Linked DNA regions of Drosophila melanogaster. Each later gene encodes a partner of the first gene's protein in a complex. Each region holds a gene or a part of one and is shown in the gene's direction. Other genes may lie near its edges.

Region 1 (5,644 bases):
CCATGTGGATCACGGCAAGACCACGCTCACGGCGGCCATTACCAAGGTCCTGGCCGACAAGCAGCTGGCCGAGAGCAAGAAGTACAATGAAATCGACAATGCGCCCGAGGAGAAGGCTCGTGGTATTACCATCAATGTAGCCCACGTGGAGTACCAGACGGAGACGCGTCACTACGGCCACACAGATTGTCCGGGACATGCCGATTATATTAAGAACATGATCACCGGCACAGCCCAGATGGATGGCGCCATTCTCGTTGTGGCCGCCACCGATGGCGCCATGCCCCAAACTCGCGAGCATATGCTGCTAGCCAAGCAGATCGGCATTGATCACATCGTGGTGTTCATCAACAAGGTGGACGCCGCCGATGAGGAGATGGTCGACCTGGTGGAGATGGAGATCCGAGAGCTGCTTACCGAGATGGGCTATGATGGTGACAAGATCCCTGTGGTAAAGGGCTCGGCGCTGTGCGCCCTCGAGGACAAGAGTCCCGAGATCGGCAAGGAGGCGATCCTGAAACTGCTCCAGGAGGTGGATAGCTTCATCCCCACGCCTGTGCGCGAGCTGGACAAGCCCTTCCTGCTGCCTGTTGAGAATGTGTATTCGATTCCCGGACGCGGCACCGTCGTCACTGGTCGCCTGGAGCGCGGAGTGGTCAAGAAGGGCATGGAGTGCGAGTTCGTGGGCTATAACAAGGTGCTGAAGTCGACGGTGACGGGCGTGGAGATGTTCCACCAGATTCTGGAGGAGGCGCAAGCCGGTGATCAGCTGGGAGCTCTGGTGCGCGGCGTTAAGCGAGATGACATCAAGCGCGGCATGGTCATGTGCAAGCCGGGCAGTGTGAAGGCACTCGATCAGCTGGAGGCCCAGGTGTACATCCTGTCCAAGGATGAAGGCGGTCGCACAAAGCCCTTCATGTCCTTCATCCAACTGCAGATGTTCTCCCGCACCTGGGACTGTGCCGTGCAGGTGCAGATTCCCGATAAGGAGATGGTCATGCCCGGCGAAGACACCAAGCTCATTCTGCGCCTCATCCGGCCAATGGTCCTGGAGCAGGGACAACGCTTCACGCTGCGTGACGGAAACCTGACCCTGGGCACTGGTGTCGTCACCAGCACTCTGCCCCCATTGACTGAATCGCAGCGATCCGAGTTGACGGAGGGCAAGAAGGCGCGCGAGAAGAAGGTGGCGGCTAAGAAGTAGATCCCCGGAACGCCGTCAGTCATTAACTAAAATCATATTCTTAAGCGATTTTTATGCATATTGTATAAGTTGTTGGCGCTCCAATCACAATCGAGTAAAATATAAACAAACACCTATGGACAACGAAGTTTTAAAACTTGGAATATTAGTAGGGATCTTAAAATTGATTTAAAATAGTACGGCTTTTAAGTATTACTGTTGTTGCCTGACATTTCGGCATTTCAAAGGACTATTTGTTATATAAAGTTATGTAAGTAAGCATTGATCATTGATAAAGGGCAATATTTAATTTAGGCGCCACTCATCGATTGCTTATCGCTCTATGTTAACGGCATCCGAAATAGAGTGGTATCGAAATGGAGCCGATAAAATCAAACAAGGCCGATAATAACCTGACTACGACATTTTACAACACTGCTGCAACCGCCTTGAACGCAGCTGATGATAAAGAACATTTTGAAATTGATTTGAAAATTGGCAAAAATGAGTACCTACCGCGTAGACTACTTGACCGGTAGATTCAAGCACCGTAAACGTTTGTTTGCAAAGTAATTAATAACTTATTTTGTCCGCAGATTCCCTAGACGACACGGAACCATTGCCGGAGCTGAGTTTTGAAGACTTTTTGGAGCCAACGTCGGAGAAGAGTTCCCAGCACATGGAAATCGAAGCTCTGGACTCAGAGGAAGACAATATCGGCGGTGAAGATCTGGCCGATCCGGCCAACGATTCCCTGAACACGCCGCAGTTTAAGAAGAACGTGGTCCACATACTGGAGGACAAGAGGTTAAACTCGTCCGGACTAACCGTTTTGAAGTCGCACGCCATTAAGATGGTGACTGCCGGAGGTACTCCTCCGGCCAAGGCGCAAGTTACAGACGTAAAGATACTAAACAAATTGAAACCAATACCCAGCAGTACGCTAAAGATCGGTAGCACGACCATAGCGACCAAATCCACACCGGGCAGCATAACCAAGACTTTGGGCAACTTGACCCAGATTAGGACGAAAGATGGCCAAGTCATCTTTGTCCAGAAGTCTGTTCCTGGAACACAAAGCAGCACTGCGGTGACAGGGTCACCAAGCGGTGGAATAAGACGCCTCGTGGCGCCTTCTGGTATCCAGAAGGCAGTGCTTTCTAAGGGCGTGACCATGGCAAGCACGGGTCTGGTCAAGGCGGCTGTTCCTGCCAAAGCAAGCACCTCGGTACCCGGCTCAGCCATAACCTTAAAGGGCATCCAACCGCTGGCCGGAGGCACTGCGAAGGCGTCGACTTCCAGCACGACGGCAACCACATCCCCATCTTTGGCACAGCCCAACAAAATTCAGGTGGTGCGCACTGCCGATGGCAAAATTATCAAGATCAATCAGGCTGGTCCCTCACTGCTGGTGAACGCCAAACAGGGAACTGGGACCACAGTCACACCAGGAGGTTCTGCCGCCACTTCTGTCAAACTATCTCCCTCCACGGGAAATGTGGTGCTCAACAAGCCCGTTGGCCAGGTAGTGGTGAGAACAGAAACTCCTGTAAAAACGGCGACGGGCTCCGTTGCCAGTGCATCCGCAACACCGGGCAAGATGTTGGTTCAAAGTGGCGGCAAACAGATTCTTGTATCCAACAAGAACATCATTAAGCTGTCGCCGAATGCGAGTGCCACCAGTTCGACAACCCACACGACGGGCGGACAGACACCTTCCACCTCGAGCGGATTGCACGCTATTCAGCTGCCTGGCAAGGGAGGAATACAATATGTACGTGTCCTGAACAACAATAAGAGTGCCGCCGGAACAAGTGCAACAGCCTCAATCCCGAAAACAGTGCAAACTCAGAAGATCACTGTGGTGCGGCCACCGGCTGCTACTGGTGTTCCTGCCACATCTACTACAACATCCGCAGCAGCAGCTTCACCTGCAGCCGCATCGAAGGCAAACCTTGCCATGGGCAACACTAACAAGATTGTAATGCGATCAATGGGTGGCAGCATTGTGCCGCTGCCTTCCGTGCAGACGTTGGTCTCAAAGGTTGGTACTTGTGTTGGTACAAATTTATTTCATTCTAACTCAATTTCCATCTTTAAAGCGTGCGCTGGGCGCCATCTCCAACGCTTCAAAACCAGCCAGTGCGGCGAGCAGCAGCGCCACGCCGAGTGCCAGCCAGGAGTTGCCACGCAAACACCGTCTTACTGATCTCAATGTGCAGCTAAAGCAATCGGCCTCGGTCAGCAGTGAAGCTAGCGACAGCAGCGATGCGGGTCCTGAGGCCAAAAAGCCGCGTTACGTTATTACCATGCAGCAAGGATCACAGAAGGCAGCTTCCCAGCCAGTTCAGAAACTAATTAATCGGACAGCGAATGTACAGCGTGTGGTGTCTAGCAGTACAAGTCCCAGTTCCAACTCCACAAAGAAAATCTACAACTATGTTCAACCGACTGGAAGCAATGGGGCCAAGTACATGATCTGTAACTCGGGTGTGCCCCAATCATCGACGAGTGCCATGCGACGGGGATACACTGGATATGTGGAAAACAAGACGCGACGCCCGCCACCCATTTCCCCGCAACAGCACCGCTTTAAGCAGATGGGTCCCCAGCAGCAGTCCAAGCACCAGCAACTTCAAGCGCAGGCCAAGCAACGGATTAGACAGCAGCAACTGCCTACCGAACAATCGACGCCGATCAAGGTCGAGCCAAAGTTGCCGACACTGCCTCCGGGGGTGAAGGCCAATGTACCTGCCAAGCCGCTCTTTGAAGTCCTAAAACCTCCAGCAACCGCGGCAGCAGCCGGAGCCGTCGATCCATTGGGCGGCATGACTTCGCGGCGAAAGCACTGCAACTGCAGCAAGTCGCAGTGTCTAAAGCTTTACTGCGATTGCTTTGCAAACGGCGAGTTTTGTCAGGACTGCACCTGCAAGGATTGCTTTAACAATCTGGACTACGAAGTGGAGCGGGAGCGTGCTATTCGCAGCTGCCTCGATCGTAACCCCAGCGCCTTTAAGTAAGTTTATTTGAAAGGAAAAGCTTATGAGGTCTATCCTATGTTTCTAAAGATGCTAATCACAACTACTTTTTTTTTTTTTAAACAGACCCAAAATTACGGCACCCAATTCAGGTGATATGCGTCTGCATAACAAAGGTTGCAACTGCAAAAGATCGGGCTGCCTCAAGAACTATTGTGAGTGCTATGAGGCAAAGATTCCCTGCTCCAGCATATGTAAATGCGTTGGTAAGTGAACTGATAAATCTGTTTTATCTATGATCAAACTAACTGAATCAATCAACTTATTATTTAGGGTGTCGAAACATGGAAGACCGTCCGGACGTGGACATGGACTCTCTGGACGGATTGATGGGTGTCGAGGGTCAGAAAAAGGACAAAGCTAAAAACAAGCAATTGAACGAGAATCGCGCAAATATATATTTTACGGACGATGTCATTGAGGCGACCATCATGTGCATGATATCGCGGATTGTGATGCACGAGAAACAGAATGTGGCCGTGGAGGACATGGAGCGCGAGGTTATGGAGGAAATGGGCGAAAGTCTGACACAGATCATCGCTTTTGCCAAGGAAAAGCAAGAAACCTCTCAGATAGACGAGTCCAAGCCTTCTTCTTAGGCATGCAAATATAGTCACACATTAATTAGTTTATAAGTTCAAAGAGTTCTTGACCTTTTCTCAATCATATTCTAATTTTGGCTTTCTAAAAGTTGACCTTAAAGTAAAGTGTTTACCCTATTTAAATAATTTAAACACAAAATGTATATATCATACATAGCAAATTTCAGATATAAGGCTATTTTAATTTTTGGCCGAGCATTGTAATTGTGTTGTAAACTTTTCCCTTGGATTGAATGTAAATAATTTAGATACCTAATAAAGTTTAATGACCATTGAACACAAATGAAAAGAGACGTTGTGTTGTTTTGTAGCTTGTTTATTCACCAACAACTTCAGTTACATATTTGTATTTTGCATTTGCATTGTTTCAAATTTATTGATGGGCGAGTATATTAAACTCAACGCAATTTAGTTTGGTTTTTCACAATATCGGTATCAGCTTAGTTAGCAATATCTCTATAAAATAAACACATGTCGAATGACTACAGTATAGGTAATGCATATATTAGTTGATTGTATTGATAGTAGGTATTTAGTTTTGTATATATGTAGTTTTTTTTGTTTAAGTATAGTTATATATTCTACTTGGTCACCATTGGTATGTATAAATAGCATATAAGTATGTTTGTGTTCTGGTTTCTCCCGGTTCTCACCCTATAAACATGGCATGGCATGACATGAGTACATATGTGTGTATGTATGTAGTTTCAAGGTTTGAGTAAAAATGTGATAATCGTTTAAGGACTATAGTACATATACGTGGTTAGTAATGCTAATATATATATATATATATATGCCCTGTTATACATATTTTTCATACA
Region 2 (7,749 bases), 290 kb from region 1:
TGCAATTAAAAGTAAACAACAATCAGATAAATCTACAATCTTCTTTAGAAGTAGTGTTTCCCCGCAAAACAGGAATATGTATCTTTCATTTCATCTTTTGGCGACTTTATTTATTATATTAATTGTTCCCATGTCCAGAGTTTTCATCAATGCTCATGGCAATATCCTACATAAATGTTAAAAACCTGCCACCATACGCTCATATACATATGTATATATTTATATTGTATTCCTTTAGTCCGGCGGAGCCACAGGAATGATGATGGACCACCTGCCCTCCAACGATAAGCACGTCCACGCTGACTTCTACAATGATTTTGATGATCTGTTCGATGAAGACAACTGGGCCAAGATGAAAACCGATGGGAAACAGTAGAGGCCACCACGCAATAAATGGATTGAAAGATTTGTATTCGCGACTCGTTCTTCTGTCTGTAATTTTACTTGCACAATCAGCGATCATTGGTGTATAAAAAATTGCTTCAACTATTGTTTAATCGCTTATTATATTCATTTGGTTCGTATAACTAAGGTAAATTGCCATGTGAGATAGTGCCGAGGTGGATATGAACTTTGGCTTAGCGTAAATCAACAAAATGCATAATTTTGTACAAAAAAACGAAACTATTAACTAAATTTATCGAACTGAGTTTCAGGTGGAATGAAGCAATCATAATTGAGATAAATACAAATGTACACAATAACCTAATGGATCCGTGGAAGTTGTTAACCAAGTTGTAGGCCCTCTGCAAAGCTATCCGTCCAACGGCGTGCCCAGATAGACCATCGAGACCTCGGTATTGCCGTAGACAGCGGATACTGTGGGATAGAGCTTTTTGTCCGGCAGGCCTGCAAGGTGAAAGTGCATAGAATCGTTCGTATCGCTGGTATCACCAAACTATTTCCCCTTACCCCGGAAGGCCACACCGAGGAACTCGTAGTTCTTCTCGAACGACAAGGTGTTGTCCTCGCAGTCGAGAATGACGCGTATCCGCTCGCCCACTTGGTACTTGGGAGCATTGTTCAGCAGCGGGTAACTGCCCTGCATGTCGCCGTTGTGCAGCAGGTGGTTCTCGACCAGATTCCAGCCCCAGCTCTGGTCGTCGGAGCCGAGCAGAGCCACATAGCCGTGACACTGTAGAGCCGCCTCCTTGGTAGATATGCCGATGACGGCCACAGTGCCCAGCGGTCCCTCCCATATCACCTCCCAGGTGTGACGACCGTGGCGGAATCCTATCTTGCCCCGGGCCGCGTCTGTGCTCTGCGCCACGGGATTGCTGCGGGAATGGAGGGACATACATATAACGCCGACTCAAGCAAACCGAATACCTTACCGATGCAGGGTGAATCCGTTCGGCTTAATGTACACATTCCTCGAACAGTCGTTGGGGCTCCAGGCGTGAAAATAGGCCCGCAGCTTCGTCTTGTACGTGGAGACGGAGGCCAGCAGGTCCGATTTGAGGGACTCCTTGGGCAGCTTGTTCAGGCAGTGCCAGCGCCAGACGTCGCTGTTCTCGTCGTTGAGGAAGTGGTACCAACTTTTGCACACCTGCGAGCAATGACTGAGGTCGTCCAGCTCCAGGTAGGAGAAGATTACCTCCAGCACATTGTAATTGCACAGCGCCGCCACCGGATCGACCATTGTGTGCGTGTGCGCTCCGCTGCTGGGCTCGTGTAGATAGCTGCTTGGATTTACCCGTTCCTGTTGATTGTCATTTTCCCACACCAACCAAATGGGTAAAAATAAAACTCGAAAACTTTAATATTCTGCGATTCAGGGTGACCGTTGGCGGGCTGCCAGCGAAATACCGCTCACCTGGACAAAGTGGCAACTTTGTTTACATCCGCGACCAGTGTGCGATAGCGACTGTCGCACACAGCTGCTTACAACACTGCGTAAATTGATGCGTAAATTGGCGCGCACTGTCTGCCATTTCATTCGCACCCGCACACAGCCTGCTTTGCCTTTCCCACATGAAAACGAAAAGCAGCCACTTGGTGGAAATTTTGTGACCATTTTGTTGCGCTTAGAAATTGCGGAAATTCGCGCTGCTGCCAGCCGTTCGATAGCTAAAAGTTCGCCGTATCTTTTGCCACTAATCTCGTGAAAATCCGTGCGCCGAAACACCGCGAAAAAGGCCACCGAAAAAGGGCCGCCGCTGTGAGTGTGTGTGAGCAGCAGAAAAGAAAAAAAAAATGCCCTGCCGCTGGAAGTGAAAAATGCGCTCGCCATTTTGACTTGGGCGACACTTATTTTTTGTACAAGTGCGCTCCCCATTGCAGTCGTCGTCGTCGTGGTCGTGGTCCGCATCCGGATTTGCACACGTGCCCCAGTCCGTGGGTGCAGTACGTCCGCCTATCCACCGCCGTCGCCCATTCCAGCTCCATTTGCCCCCCCCTAGCACACACGTTGCGGCGAAACGGCACGTAGCACTGCTCTTTCCTTTTGTTTTTGGCGGTCCACCTGGTGAGCGGTAAGCGACAACAACAAGATCACTTGATCTCCGGCGGCCGAAAAATGGCGCATTCGACGGGCGGTACGGTGAAGACCGATGAGGTGAACTTCTTCTTCCGGAACGAGCACGGTAAGTGGGCGGAAGCGGTGTCCTGTAATAGGAGTTTTGCTCACGATGGAGTGAGTGCACTCCCTCCCTCCGCTATAGTCCATCATACACACACACCCCCTCATACACAAGGCGACCCACACAGATACGCTACAAAGTTGCATGGGCAGCGTAAAACGCCATCTTTGCTTTTTCGGGTTTCTTTTGCCTACCGTATTCATCGTTTGATACGCTTTGCGGGGGGAGGCCAGCGAGACGAACCGAAAAGAGTGCTAGAAATTGGCAAAAAGTAATAATAAAAGACAGAGACCCCCGCGAAATAACAACTTATATCAGTAAGCCACCCAGACCCGCCCCCTTCTGCCATCTACGCCCATCGCCCAGTTGGCGCGCTTGCTCACACACACACATGCACGCACACTAGCACGCGCGCGTTTTCTCCTACTTATTTTTTTGTTTTTTCATTGGGCGGCGAACAGCTGATTACTTCGCCGCCACTGCGAATTCGCTTTGAGGATTTAGCATGAAGTGAAGTAGTGATAAATCGTTGATTTCAGCTACGTACAAAGGTATTATTGTGAGGGACATTGTAAATTCAACTTGAAACAAATGTATCTGAACAGCGTGACATTCTGCCATATCTTAGCGAGTGGGAGAGAGACGGGGCGCACCGCCAAGAGAGATCGGGGTGAGAGAAAAAAGGCCACAGCAAGAACAACACTGCCACACACACACACACGTAGTCAGCCACGAAGCTGAAGCCCAAAACAGGCGAGAGCAAATAGGTGTAAGCGCTGTACACGTGTGTAGTTGTCCGTCGCCGCGTTTATGCGGTATTTACCGTACCCCGCAGTACTGAACTGATTAACTTCATGAGTTTCATTCAGTCATGATAGCAAAGAAGAAGATATGGATAGCTTTATGACGTGCTTTTATTTGTATAAAATGTCTCTTTAATCCCCAATATGTAAAGAAATAGTAATTTTTAATCAGTGATATTGCTCTTTGTTGAATATGAAGCGCGCATAAACGCTTTATATAGACCAGTATATCAGCCTGTTCGTACCAGCGAGTTACCTGGTTTGTAGTTATCTGCTGGTTGACTGGTGCAGACGAACTATGGAACTGCTTCTCCAATTGTAGGGATTATGGTTTCACCTGCATTTTGGGACTCTGCCTAGGCATTGTAGGATAACTCCCGCCGAGTTTAAGACTCCCATCGTTACCATCTGGTGGGACAGTCCGGCATTTTCTCGCATGTGTCCGCTGCTCAAGCCCCCGTGAGTCTGACTCACTTGCAGGTGTGTGTGCGTGTGATGTGCCCGTGGGTGCGGGAGAGTTGGCAGGTATTTTTAGCGCTCGACCCTTTGCGGTTTTTGTTTTGGGCATCTTCATCTCCATTATGCGTTGTCCACCTGCTTTGTTGTTATGATTATGCAAATATTGGGCTGGCGACAGGTGAACAATTATTACATCGAATGAATACCATCTAAAACTGGAAATGTTTAGAAAAGCCGGTTGGATACGAAACCCAGGGGTGCCAACCGAGTAGTCTTAATGGGTTTCCGGTTAATTCTGCCTTGATATTATAGTTGCTTTGGAATGGAAGTGCTCATAGTGTTGGATATACCAAATTAGCAGTAAATAAAATTTACTAAAGAACGCAACTAAGAACAGTGATTTGAAATGTCACGCTTTTAAAAATACTAACCGGTATCATATTTGCTCTTACTTTTTCTTCTGCTTAGGCTTCTGCTTGATTTATTGTCTTTCCAGTTAAAAGTCGAATTGTGAGTTTTAATGGGAAACCTATAATCGCACTATATTTAATTCAAATTATATTCGAACTTGGATTAATCCGACTAATGACTGATCAACAATCTTGTCGAGTCACGAACTTTAGTATCGAACCATCTCTAATTGGTTAAGGGTCACGTGGTTGCCATCACTAATGTCCAGGCGATCTGGTTTCGGGTTGTTTATGCTTCTGCATTTGTATCCTTGTCACACCGATTGAAACACACGCACACTCACCACCAGCACGTGAGTGTGGGTATACCTTGTGTGTATGTGTGTATGCACCCCAATCTTAATGTGCCGCTCGCCTTTCGTTGTTGTATTCCGACTCCAGTGCGCTTAACTCGCTCCATTCCATTCTCTTCACTTCGCTGCGATGAATTCACCGTATATACGGCGAAAAAACGCATCGTTGATAGTACCACACATACATTCAGTTACTCGCTAACACTCTGACACCCATGTGTGTGTCTGTGGAGTACATGCAGTTTTGTTATCAACGACGGCATTTCAGTCGCGTGTTATGTGTATATCGGAAACTAAGGAACCTCCGCATCTTCCAATTTCCAATTCTGCAGGACAAATATCCAAAATGCTGAAGCCGGCCCAGAACAAGTCCGAAATGGAGGGAGGTAAGCCCGTGGCGGTGGTCTACGCCACCGGCTCATCCGCGCGCAACAGCGGAAGTGCTAGCGGCATCGGCAACGTGGGACGCATGGGCGCCTTTAGTCAGATGGTAAGTGTAGAACGCGGTTGCTCACGTTGCTTACACTTAGTACCTAACGATCCGATTTAAACGCAGGGCAGTCAAGGGCAGTTTATACGACTGCAGGACAACGGACTGTCCATTCCAAAAACAGAAGGTAAGCGTGTGATCCTCCTCTTACCACTTCAATTAATCATTGTATCCCTTATTGTAGCAGGTACCACCTACACCACCGTTTCGGCGCAAAAGACTTCGGGTGCTGGCAGTGGTCATTACGACTTGCCCTTGAAGGGAGATCGCTATGTGAAGTTTACACCAAATCCCATAAAAATGAAATCAAAACTGTAAGTAGTAACCAACCGAGCAGGATCGAGGAGGATACTATAGCTTTGTTCCTTCCCAAACAGCCATGCCATTCAGAGCAACTCGTTGCACTCCATGTCGGCCTCCTCATCGTCCGTTCAAAGGAAACGCAAGCCGGACAAGGCAGGCAAAGGTTTGCGCCATTTCTCGATGAAGGTATGCGAAAAGGTGGAGGAGAAGGGCAAGACCACCTACAATGAGGTGGCCGACGACCTGGTCAGCGAGGAGATGAAGAACAATGCGTACGACAACAACTGTGATCAAAAGAATATCCGACGTCGTGTCTACGATGCGCTCAACGTACTGATGGCAATCAATGTTATTTCCAAGGACAAGAAGGAGATTCGCTGGATAGGACTGCCCGCAAATTCGACAGAGGTGGGACTTGTGTTCACCAAAGGCACCAAACTCCATGCTAATGTGATTATTTTGTCCCCTTTTCATAGACATTTCTGGCCCTGGAAGAGGAAAACTGTCAGCGCCGCGAGCGAATAAAACAGAAAAACGAAATGTTGCGCGAAATGATCATGCAGCATGTGGCGTTCAAGGGATTGGTCGAGCGGAACAAGCGAAACGAGAGCCAAGGCGTGGTGCCTTCCCCGAATGCCTCGATCCAGCTACCGTTCATCATCGTGAACACGCACAAGTCCACGAAAATCAACTGCAGTGTGACCAACGACAAGTGAGCGCTCACACTCAGTCGGAGTATGGCTTGTATTCTATTTCCCATATATCGTTTCAGGTCCGAATACATATTCAAGTTCGACAAAACCTTCGAAATGCACGATGACATTGAGGTGCTCAAGCGTATGGGATTCCTATTGGGTGAGTGTGTTTAATATTGGGCATTCGGGATAAGAAATTCATTGCATATGCTATTACCTGCAGGACTGGATAAGGGCGAATGCACGCCGGAGAACATTGAACGAGTCAAGTCGTGGGTGCCTCCAAACCTTGCCAAATACGTAGAAGGTATGACCATATATTGTCTTCCAATTCACTGTTATTAAACTTTATATTTGGCCCAGCCTACGGCACCGGCAAGACTGGCGAAAATATGTACGAATCGGATGACGAGGACAATGAGTTCAACGGGTACCTGGAGTCGGCCAATGAGTCCCAGGGCTTTGCACAACACTCGGCACAACACACCACCGATGGCGAGTTCAAGCTGGAGATGGATGATGACGAGCTGGACGACGACATTGATTGAGCTGATGGTGCCGCCGTCATTGTGCCAGCCATGGCCGATGCGGACACGGATGCGGATGGAGGAGCAGATGCTGATGCGGAGGACACGTTTAGTTTTACGTTTATCAACGCTTTGTTAGGTTTGCCACGGCCCCCTGGTTAGTCAGGAGCCGCACTCCACTCCAATCCACTCCACACCCAATCCGACCCACCCACACAATTGGTTTTGTTTACTTCTCAATGAGACTCTTAAATTATATATATACAATCTCGCAGCGACGAGAAAGATTCGGTAGTTCATGTATGTAAGTGTAGTTTGCATACACAGTTTGTAATTGTATCATTGAAGATTTATGTTTAAGCTGAAACGTTTTTAAAATAATTTGTCTAGTTAAGGAGAACGCGTTTTTAGTTCAAACCACAATTCACATAAGGCAATACCGCGAAACCACATGCCCAGACTAATGTTCACTCTCTAATTAGTTGTTATCAGTCTCCCTTTTCCCCCCAATGGCCTTTTCATGTTTGGGTAGGCTTAAGCAAAAGCGATAATGTTATGGGTAATTGTCTCTTAATAATATAATATACCAAAACTGTACACAACCGCAGTGAAATGCAATTATTTTTAGAATGCCACGAGCAGTTTGAACTGCAGACAAGAGCGAACATATGAAATATGTTTAATTTGCTAACACCCTTTGACAAAGCGATTCTTTTAGATTCTCAAAACCCAAATTTTAAGTTGACAAGGGAGTGCAGATAGTTGCGAAATAATCAACCTACCTAATTAGTAATAACAATTAAAACACGATATACATTTTCAGAATTTGTATTTATATTATTGAACCCTCTTCAAGTGAATACAACAGCATGCAAATACAAATTAGTAGTCAAGTATAAGGCGTTAACAATTAAGTGTCGAGCATGTAGTTGTGTAATGAAACGAAATAATTGCATGGATGGAAAGGAAATTGCAAACAAGTGAGACGAAATCGAACCGAGTGACAAGTTAATAAAGAAGTAATTTGCATATTGTAAAATATGATAAACAGAGAATTTAATCTTTTCCTCCCTTCTGCTTGCACCCAACCCAAGCAATAAGTCCAATAATCCATGACATCGCATATG
Region 3 (4,950 bases), on another chromosome or scaffold:
CACATTATCAGCCACAGAAGCATAAATAGAAATGCAGCGGGAGAGCAAATCTAGCACTCTTTTTTTTAGTTTTTGTGTTTACTTATTTGCGTTCATTGGCTTCTCTTCCTAACGGCACTTCGGGCCAAGGAGGTGCGAATGAAAAGGAGCTATAATCCGGTTTTATATCGCACTTACCTTTTTTAATTAGAATAAATCAAAACTTTGCTGCGGATTCCGATTCTCTTTATTTGCTATCAAAAGCAAAGCGGACTTTACAGTTACGCCTGTTAAAGTTGTTGTTTTTACTGCACGGTCTGCGGGCCAAATAAAAACAACAAATACTATATTTTTGCTGTTTACTTTACGCCGAACTTCGACGCTAATTGGAAAAAGAGATGCGGGAAGGAGAGAGAGCAATGAAAACTATAATTAAACGCCAGCAAAAAAAGGTCTTAAATATCCTGCGGGCACAGCAACAACAACAGAGAAAAATACAGGAGGAAAACCAAGAGAAAGAAGGGGAGAAGTTAACATAAAGTAACAGAAAGTTGCGAAGGAGAGGCGTTGGTCTCCGAGGGGGAAAGGCATAGGAAAAGACTCTTAAGGGAAAAAGAGAAAAGTCGGAAAGAGAAAAGCTGCGCAGGATATTTTAGCCGCCTATGAAAAATGTTAATTTTGTTTTAAATGTTCACTGCGGGTTTCATATGTTTTTTCTTGCATTATTGGCCACTTCGCTTTGTCACTTTACTTCGGTTTTAATTTTTCCACTTCTTCATTCGCCCAGTGAGTGTGTGCGTGCGAGGGAGATGGAGCGAGAGAGCGTGTTTGTGTTTCCACTGCAACTCCATTCTTCTTTCTCTTTTTTCACACACACACACAGGGCACACACGCACACTTGCACATGGGGGAGTTGGAAACTTACGCGTCGCCGTTTTATTAATTTTATTCAATTAACAATCGCCTCTAATTCAGCAACTCCAAAACACTACAAAATCTCGTTGTACTTGAGCACTATTGTTTGTCGATAAGAAGCCGCCGAAAAACGCCGACCGAGGAGGAAAATCACCCGCGCTGGAAAATCGCGTCCGAGTCGTTCAACGGTGAATTTTAGAGTGAGAAGGAAAATCGTGGGAAACTGCGGTGGATTTTAGAGCGAGATGGGTGATGCTCTGAAAGAGAGAGAGGGAATGCACCCTCTGGCGATGGGCCAAGTTCGATATTAGCATGGATTCCTATCGATTAATCGACTTAACATTATTTACCCCGGACTACAACCTATTACTTCTGTGTTTTTGTTTTTCTTAAATTATAATGAATCATTTATATTTGTATAGAAAATATTGAAATCAATTAGTTTATTCGAATGCTTAAACTTAAATGTTTTCCAACAACATCTCTAGTTCCAGCTTCAGACTCTGCAACGTGATCTTAGCCAATAAACTTTGCTTTATAAACTTATAATTGATCCTTGCTATTTTTCCAAAAAATATGTCGTGATATTTGATAATTTTTGATAAGTACATAGGTCTGATTGTTTATATATCTAATAAAAAATGACCACTCTGTATGAAGAGGGTAATCGTATTTCATATGTAAATTTATTAAATATATTTCTTTAATAAATAATTAAATATATTTGTTTGGTATTTTCGGTATTCATGCAGTTAGTATTAAAAGTATATTCTGCAGAGCCGGGAAGTGTGGATTTAAAAAAGTCCGCGGTCACACTGCCCATCTGCAGAGGTTTCCTCTTCGCGAATTTGTCTTGTGCGCTCCGATTTTGGCTATATAGTTGCGCCAAAGTGCCAAAAATCGGACCGGCACCAAAGTAAACCATCTTCTGAGCTCGCAAGTTCATCCGATCGACGAAGGATAGAAAAACATCGACTTTAAGGGGATTTAAGACCCGCCAACAGCACCGCAAAATGCAGTCTCACAGCAAAAAGCGCGTTTGTTACTACTACGACAGTAAGTTTTGAGCATTTAAATGGAAGTAAAAGGCCTACTAGATGGGTAATTTGTGTTTACAAAGTGCCAGCTAGGGTTACCATGTCGACTTTGTGTTTTTTCCGCATCCACTTAGCATCAGATGATAGCATTTTTGCAAATTTCAAGTTTTACGGCGACTGTACGAGCGCGTTCCGGTCCACAGCGCACTTTTTCCATACGACCGCAGTGCGTTTGTATGCGTTTGTGTGTGTATGTACCTGATGTCTATCTTCCTCTTCTGTGTGTTTTTGTTGCTTTTTCGTTCGGGGCGAAAGTGCTACTACTGCGGTCGTTCGGAAAAAGTGCTGCTCTCAGGCAGACGCCTCGCCGACAGTGGCCTTAAAATTTGTATTCCACATAGCGTGGCAAATAATTACTTTTTCAACGTGCTCATAATTGCGATTTTTGATCCATAGGCGACATTGGCAACTACTACTATGGCCAGGGTCATCCCATGAAGCCCCATCGCATACGCATGACCCACAACCTGCTGCTCAACTATGGGCTCTATCGAAAAATGGAAATATACGTGAGTTACTTTATTAATATGTGATGATAGATATATATATATATATGATAGATTTAAACGCGAATTTCTCTATTCTAGCGTCCCCATAAAGCCACTGCCGATGAGATGACCAAGTTCCACTCGGACGAGTACGTCCGGTTCTTGCGATCCATTCGGCCGGACAACATGTCGGAGTACAACAAGCAGATGCAGCGTTTCAATGTCGGCGAAGATTGTCCCGTCTTCGATGGACTATACGAGTTTTGCCAACTCTCCGCCGGAGGATCCGTAGCTGCGGCCGTAAAACTGAATAAGCAAGCCTCGGAGATCTGCATCAATTGGGGCGGTGGGCTGCATCACGCCAAAAAATCGGAAGCCTCGGGCTTCTGCTACGTCAACGACATTGTTCTGGGAATTCTGGAACTGCTTAAATACCATCAGCGTGTTCTCTACATAGATATAGACGTCCATCACGGCGATGGCGTGGAGGAGGCGTTCTATACCACCGATCGTGTGATGACTGTCAGCTTCCACAAGTACGGAGAGTATTTCCCGGGCACTGGCGATCTGCGAGACATTGGCGCCGGCAAGGGAAAGTACTATGCGGTGAATATACCCCTGCGTGATGGCATGGATGATGATGCGTACGAGAGCATATTTGTGCCCATTATCAGCAAGGTGATGGAAACATTCCAGCCGGCAGCCGTGGTGTTGCAGTGTGGCGCCGATTCGCTGACTGGCGATCGGTTAGGCTGCTTCAATCTCACCGTCAAGGGTCACGGCAAGTGCGTGGAGTTCGTGAAGAAATATAACCTGCCATTCCTGATGGTCGGCGGTGGTGGTTATACCATTCGTAATGTATCCCGCTGCTGGACCTATGAGACCTCCGTTGCACTGGCCGTGGAGATAGCCAACGAACTGCCCTACAACGATTACTTCGAGTACTTTGGGCCCGATTTTAAGCTGCACATTAGTCCCAGCAATATGACGAATCAGAATACATCCGAGTACCTGGAGAAGATCAAGAACCGTCTGTTCGAGAACCTGCGCATGCTGCCTCACGCTCCGGGCGTTCAAATCCAAGCGATTCCCGAGGATGCCATCAACGATGAGTCCGACGACGAGGACAAGGTCGACAAGGATGATCGCCTGCCGCAGAGCGACAAGGACAAGCGCATTGTGCCCGAGAACGAGTACTCCGATTCGGAGGATGAGGGCGAAGGCGGTCGCAGGGATAACCGTTCGTACAAGGGTCAGCGGAAGCGGCCGCGTCTCGACAAGGACACCAACAGCAACAAGGCATCCTCAGAGACGTCCAGCGAGATCAAGGACGAAAAGGAAAAGGGTGAGTGATTAACCATTAGTCATTTTAATTGGTTCTACTGACCACTTGTAATTTGTATTTAAACCCTACTAACTAAACCATTATGCTGTTTTCAGGCGACGGAGCTGATGGCGAGGAATCGACGGCGTCTAATACCAATAGCAACAACAACAGTAACAACAAGAGCGATAATGATGCCGGAGCGACAGCTAATGCCGGATCCGGTTCGGGATCAGGTTCCGGTGCCGGGGCCAAGGGCGCCAAGGAGAACAACATTTGACGTGGCGGCCGCAATTGGTTATAGAAGCCAATTAAGCGACCGCCGAAGTACAAGCCACCGGATTTCACCTAGTGTCGTCTCATTCCCGCGCCCCCCTTCACCAACACGCCCCGTAGCCATGTCCAGGGCTTTTTCTACACGCCCCTACACAAGGTCCCACTGCGATCGGCTCCTTTTTTTCAGTGGGAATATTCCCAAAGGGGGATAAATCAGTAATCAGTGGGCGGAAACACAATTTATTTTAAGATCGAAAGTGTATAGCTAAGCAAAAAGTGAATGCATACTTACAAGCGATCCAATGTGGCGAATAACGCAGAAACTAATTTAATCAAATAAAAATATTTATACATTTATTGATTTTAATTTTAATGGAAAATTAATTGAGCTGCTATCTTTTAAATATTTTCTTTTGGAAGTATTCGATTTCCCATTTTTAGCAAAATACTTACGTTTCCACATTTAGGTTTCTTAGTAACAAACTAAACGATAATTTGTAACAATTTATTTGTATTTTAACTAGGACTAGCTAACAATTTTTAAGATTTTAACTTTGAGTTTCTAAGTTGAGGAGATTGTGGCATTTGGGGGGGAGAAAAGGATCCACTGGGGGTTTTCCCGCCCACCAGTTGACAGTTTGTGACTAGTCGGCGAGGTTTTCCACGGATTGCAGTGGGCGGAGAACTGGAAACTGGCTGCGGTGCTAATCCAGCGATAATATCGAGTCGATGCTGGTGCGATTACTGCGCGGCTGCAGACGCGGTCCACCCAAGTAACTAATTGGATTCGCGAACTGGCGCTGCAGCAGTGAGTTTTCCAGGAAAAGCGTCGGCGGCGGGGGTGGGCGCGTCACTTTCGAGTGATGCTGTC
Region 4 (4,915 bases), on another chromosome or scaffold:
AGTTATTGTTTAATATTCAAGAATTGTCAATCCCCCTTAATGCACCTGGCTACGCCCATGCTTTCGCCGGGCAGCAAAACAAAGTCAGCTGTTTTTGTTTATCAACGTTTGTTTTTCTCGCAAAAATGATGCGAAATGCCTTGTTAGTAAGCGGGTAAGTCAAAAAATAGACTGCAAAAGTAGATTACATTACAGTTTTGCATTCCAGCAAACTGAGACATTTGCTATCCTGTTCTATCGGGCGAAATTCGACTAGAAGCAGCAGCACAGCGAAGTCGTTGGATGCCGGCACCCAAAAGGAAGTGCGGCACCATGAGAATCACGCCTCGGAGTGGTGGAATCAAAATGGAACCATGGGTGCTCTACATGCCCTGAATGAGATTAGGTAAGCTATACAGATTTGATGTTCCAAAGGTTTATAGCTAAGTTCCTTTCCACCTTTCAGGGTTCCCTTTATCAGAGATGGCATCGTTTCGCGTGGCACTGTGAAGCCAGGTTACGTAAATACCACCAAAGTGTTGTTGGGTCAAAATATTCTGGAGGTCGGATGTGGCGGAGGATTGCTTACGGAACACTTGGCGCGCCTGGGTGCCCAGGTGGCTGGCATAGATCTTGGCGAGAAGTTAATAGAAGCTGCTCGCGAGCATCTCAAATGCTCCAGTCCGGAGTTGGCCAGCAATGTGGTGTACAAAATTGAGCCGGTGGATCAGCATGCCAAGGCCAATTGCGAATGCTATGATGCGGTGATAGTGTCTGAAGTTCTGGAGCACGTCAAAGATAAAGTGTCCCTGCTGGAGGCCAGTGTACGCAGCCTAAAGCCTGGAGGATCCATCTTTATCACCACTTTGAACAAAACCATACCCAGTTGGTTCGGTGGCGTGTTACTCAGCGAGTATGTTCTCAATCTGGTGCCCAGGGGAACGCACCACTGGGACAAAATGATTTCGCCCTTGGACGTTCAGCGCATCTTGGATACGAGTAAGTTTATCTCAGGCTTTATATTCAGATTAGGCTATTCTTTATTCTCTCGTTCATCTGCAGTGAACTGTCAGACGGTGTTGGTAAATGGAAGCACCTACGACTTTTGGAGCAACACCTGGCGATGGATCAACAACAACCAGATGTGCTACGCCTTGCAGGCGGTGAAACAAGCACAGCGCGAGTACAATTGAATTCGTATATTTATTTAACTAAAAGCTAAGTCACGAGTGTAACAACTAAGTAGTAAACTATTCGTCACCCGAGCGTGGTTTCTTAAAGTACTGCTTCTTCATGGCATGCGGACTATCACTATCTCCGCCGATTTGCTTCCTTTTAAAGTCCTTTTTGGTGTTAAACTTCTTGCTCATGCTGCCGGAGACCGTGGGCGCCTTGTTGGCATAATAAGCCTTTACCATGTCTTGGTCGGATACCTCCTTGGGCTGCTCCGGCCTTGTGCGGCCCTGCTTTTCCGCCAGATCCTGCTCCATGAGAAGTTCTAGCTCCGGATTCATGCCGCGGAAACTGAGGCGTCCGTCTATCAGGCCGGCGCATATCGAGTAGCTGGACTCCACCACAAAATTCGAGGTGGAATTGAGCATCTTCTGGTTGATCTCGTTGGAGTACAGTGCCCTGCTCTGCTCATCGTCTGCCTCCTTTTCCACTTTAACTTTTGTGCGCTGCATGAACTTCATGTCCAGGACACCACGCGAAAGTCTCGGCTTTGATTTGGATGGCATTTTCCTTATTTATTTTTGAATCTAATATAGTAGAAGTCCTTTGAGTTTAAAAACTAGGGCGAAACCATCAGGCACATTTAATTTTTTTCAAAAGCAGAATGACCGAGCACAACAAATGGGGAAAGCCAGTGCTGCAAATCATCGTTCAGCCTAGCTAGAAAACGTGGCGCGCCCTCGTGTTTATGCGATGTTTAAAGTAAATATTTAAATTACTGTTGAAAGTTAAAACAATCCTTCGTTATCAAGTTGATCTTTTTAAAATTTTAAATTCACCCTACTGACAAACAAGCTCAACTCCATCTTCATGGGCACTCTTAAGAAAACTTCCAGCTGTGCTATACATGCTCTGTAAACGATCAAGACTAGCACAGGCGCCTTCAAAGGGTTAATGCTTTTAATTTGAAACCTAAAAAAGACCCAATTTCATTTAAAAGTTGTCGCCAATATTATCGGACAATAAACCTTAACGAATGGCTAAATATTATGGAGTACTAAAATAATTATTATTTATTCGTGATGATACATTTGAAGACCAAGTAGAAAACATTGGATGATCTGTGTGTTGGACTGCAGACTAAACTAAATACAGAATTTAAATGAAAATTAATTGAAATTAAAGATCAAAATATTAAAAATGTTTACCTGTTTAAAATATAGTGTTGAAATGTGCGCAAGCATCGATTAATCGATTTACTATCGTCGTGGCAGCGTCGCTTTGCCACACTGCGCAGTGCGCACGAAGAATAGAGGGAGAATGAAAAAAATGACATAAATGGCGGAAAGCAAACCTAGCGCCAACATTCGTATTTTCGTTTAATTTTCGCTCCAAAGTGCAATTAATTCCGGCTTCTTGATCGCTGCATATTGAGTGCAGCCACGCAAAGAGTTACAAGGACAGGAGTATAGTCATCGAGTCGATTGCGGACCATGTACAAGCGCAAAACCGCGAGTATTGTTAAAAGAGACAGCTCCGCAGCGGGCACCACCTCCTCGGCTATGATGATGAAGGTGGATTCGGCTGAGACTTCGGTCCGGTCGCAGAGCTACGAGTCTACACCCGTTAGCATGGACACATCACCGGATCCTCCAACGCCAATCAAGTCTCCGTCGAATTCACAATCGCAATCGCAGCCTGGACAACAGCGCTCCGTGGGCTCACTGGTCCTGCTCACACAGAAGTTTGTGGATCTCGTGAAGGCCAACGAAGGATCCATCGACCTGAAAGCGGTACTAACACGGCCAAGCATTAAGTACTCTACCTTAACATCGTCCAAATTTCCCCTCTGCAGGCAACCAAAATCTTGGACGTACAGAAGCGCCGAATATACGATATTACCAATGTTTTAGAGGGCATTGGACTAATTGATAAGGGCAGACACTGCTCCCTAGTGCGCTGGCGGTAAGAGCCCCTTACATTTTATGAAACATTTTAGTTAGAACTAAAAATGTTAGTGACAACAAAATTAAACAAAATGGGGTGGAAGTCGCCCTTTAGCACTTAATACTTAATACAGTACAAACAGGTGGAATTTACTTTGATCATCTTCAAAGTATGATTCCACATAAATATTTCTTGATAAATTATTGATAATGTGCATTTTCCAGCGGAGGGGGCTTTAACAATGCCAAGGACCAAGAGAACTACGACCTGGCACGTAGCCGGACTAATCATTTGAAAATGTTGGAGGATGACCTAGACAGGCAACTGGAGTATGCACAGCGCAATCTGCGCTACGTTATGCAGGATCCCTCGAATAGGTCGTATGCATATGTGACACGTGATGATCTGCTGGACATCTTTGGAGATGATTCCGTATTCACAATACCTAATTATGACGAGGAAGTAGATATCAAGCGTAATCATGTAGGTATCTTACCAGTCGGAGCTCTTTAAACTAGCTTTCGAGGTTTCCCATTTCTTTCAACGAAGAAATATCTAAATTTATCGTATAATATGGGATTCAAACGAAACATTGTTTTTGTAGTACGAGCTGGCCGTGTCGCTGGACAATGGCAGCGCAATTGACATTCGCCTGGTGACGAACCAAGGAAAGAGTACTACAAATCCGCACGATGTGGATGGGTTCTTTGACTATCACCGTCTGGACACGCCCTCACCCTCGACGTCGTCGCACTCCAGCGAGGATGGTAACGCTCCAGCATGCGCGGGGAACGTGATCACCGACGAGCACGGTTACTCGTGCAATCCCGGGATGAAAGATGAGATGAAACTTTTGGAGAACGAGCTGACGGCCAAGATAATCTTCCAAAATTATCTGTCCGGTCATTCGCTGCGGCGATTTTATCCCGATGATCCGAATCTAGGTTTGTCTTCTTATCTTGCCAATTTAAAAGACCCCCTGTTTAACTTGATGCTGTCCGATGTTGCAGAAAACCCGCCGCTGCTGCAGCTGAATCCTCCGCAGGAAGACTTCAACTTTGCGTTAAAAAGCGACGAAGGTATTTGCGAGCTGTTTGATGTTCAGTGCTCCTAACTGTGGAAGGGGATGTACACCTTAGGACTATAGCTACACTGCAACTGGCCGCGTGCATTGTGCAAATATTTATGATTAGTACAATTTTGACTTTGGATTTCTCTATATCGTCTAGAAATTTTTAATTAGTGTAATACCTTGTAATTTCGCAAATAACAGCAAAACCAATAAATTCGTAAATGCACACATTGTAGGTTGTGTATTTTTTTGTTTTAGGTAACTTCCGTAAATGTCGTGGAATTATTTGGTCGTGTATGTGGAAAGTGCCAAGGAAGGTTGGAAAGATTTATAGGTTTGTTTTAATTTGGTCTAGAAAATCTATGATGCCTTGTTAAGCGTTTATGTTTACGTTTTTAGAGAGATGGTTGATGTCTTGGTATTTTTCCAGGGCTGGAAAGTGTTGTACTTGGAACAGCTGATTAAGATGTGGGATACGTTATCGAAAACGTTACTTGGTCCCCTTATGTTATTGTAACATGTACTTTATTCAAAGTATAATTGTCGAATCCGTTATCGCTGAGAAGTCTGTTGATTCTTTTGATCTCTGTAGATTTAAGTTTACATTTGGGATTTTTAACCACGGTTTTTTCAATGTGTCTGGGAAAAGTGTGCAGTAGTCCCGCTGTTTGTTTGCAGCAAAATCTGCGTTTTCCCTTTCCCAGTCTTTTTGAATGATTTAAACCGAGACATCTTTAATGGTCC

Evidence for each region.
Region 2: mip120 (region 1) and Dp share a complex: the UniProt entries of both Drosophila melanogaster proteins name them as parts of the DREAM complex.
Region 3: mip120 (region 1) and HDAC1 share a complex: the UniProt entries of both Drosophila melanogaster proteins name them as parts of the DREAM complex.
Region 4: mip120 (region 1) and E2f2 share a complex: the UniProt entries of both Drosophila melanogaster proteins name them as parts of the DREAM complex.

What each region holds. Positions count from the first base shown.
Region 1 is NT_033778.4:13,508,010-13,513,653, forward strand, and holds mip120 (Myb-interacting protein 120), read left to right. Parts: upstream 1-1,608; 5' UTR 1,609-1,687; coding exon 1,688-1,718; intron 1,719-1,779; coding exon 1,780-3,227; intron 3,228-3,285; coding exon 3,286-4,199; intron 4,200-4,287; coding exon 4,288-4,427; intron 4,428-4,494; coding exon 4,495-4,820; 3' UTR 4,821-5,103; downstream 5,104-5,644. Other genes in the region: mEFTu1 (mitochondrial translation elongation factor Tu 1), read left to right, coding at 1-1,204. UniProt on the Drosophila melanogaster protein: Component of the DREAM complex, a multiprotein complex that can both act as a transcription activator or repressor depending on the context. In follicle cells, the complex plays a central role in the site-specific DNA replication at the chorion loci.
Region 2 is NT_033778.4:13,220,528-13,228,276, forward strand, and holds Dp (DP transcription factor), read left to right. Parts: upstream 1-1,905; 5' UTR 1,906-2,518; coding exon 2,519-2,585; intron 2,586-3,063; exon of another isoform or gene 3,064-3,133; intron 3,134-3,647; exon of another isoform or gene 3,648-3,935; intron 3,936-4,794; exon of another isoform or gene 4,795-4,884; coding exon of another isoform or gene 4,885-4,939; coding exon 4,940-5,097; intron 5,098-5,163; coding exon 5,164-5,224; intron 5,225-5,281; coding exon 5,282-5,411; intron 5,412-5,474; coding exon 5,475-5,808; intron 5,809-5,876; coding exon 5,877-6,112; intron 6,113-6,172; coding exon 6,173-6,255; intron 6,256-6,318; coding exon 6,319-6,402; intron 6,403-6,458; coding exon 6,459-6,643; 3' UTR 6,644-7,218; downstream 7,219-7,749. Other genes in the region: CG17059 (uncharacterized protein), read left to right, coding at 239-376; Fsn (F-box synaptic protein), read right to left, coding at 755-849, 913-1,277, 1,335-1,642. UniProt on the Drosophila melanogaster protein: Component of the DREAM complex, a multiprotein complex that can both act as a transcription activator or repressor depending on the context. In follicle cells, the complex plays a central role in the site-specific DNA replication at the chorion loci.
Region 3 is NT_037436.4:4,625,033-4,629,982, forward strand, and holds HDAC1 (histone deacetylase 1), read left to right. Parts: upstream 1-1,701; 5' UTR 1,702-1,907; coding exon 1,908-1,950; intron 1,951-2,387; coding exon 2,388-2,500; intron 2,501-2,578; coding exon 2,579-3,824; intron 3,825-3,919; coding exon 3,920-4,083; 3' UTR 4,084-4,435; downstream 4,436-4,950. Other genes in the region: axo (axotactin), read right to left, coding at 4,784-4,950. UniProt on the Drosophila melanogaster protein: Catalyzes the deacetylation of lysine residues on the N-terminal part of the core histones (H2A, H2B, H3 and H4).
Region 4 is NT_033779.5:21,153,774-21,158,688, reverse strand, and holds E2f2 (E2F transcription factor 2), read left to right. Parts: upstream 1-1,939; 5' UTR 1,940-2,645; coding exon 2,646-2,945; intron 2,946-3,007; coding exon 3,008-3,117; intron 3,118-3,323; coding exon 3,324-3,582; intron 3,583-3,703; coding exon 3,704-4,043; intron 4,044-4,109; coding exon 4,110-4,213; 3' UTR 4,214-4,396; downstream 4,397-4,915. Other genes in the region: Coq3 (coenzyme Q3), read left to right, coding at 126-154, 209-385, 446-1,172; Mpp6 (M-phase phosphoprotein 6), read right to left, coding at 1,230-1,718. UniProt on the Drosophila melanogaster protein: Transcriptional repressor that binds to E2f sites and represses E2f-regulated target genes. Binding to E2f sites requires transcription factor Dp. Acts synergistically with Rbf2 to antagonize E2f1-mediated transcriptional activation.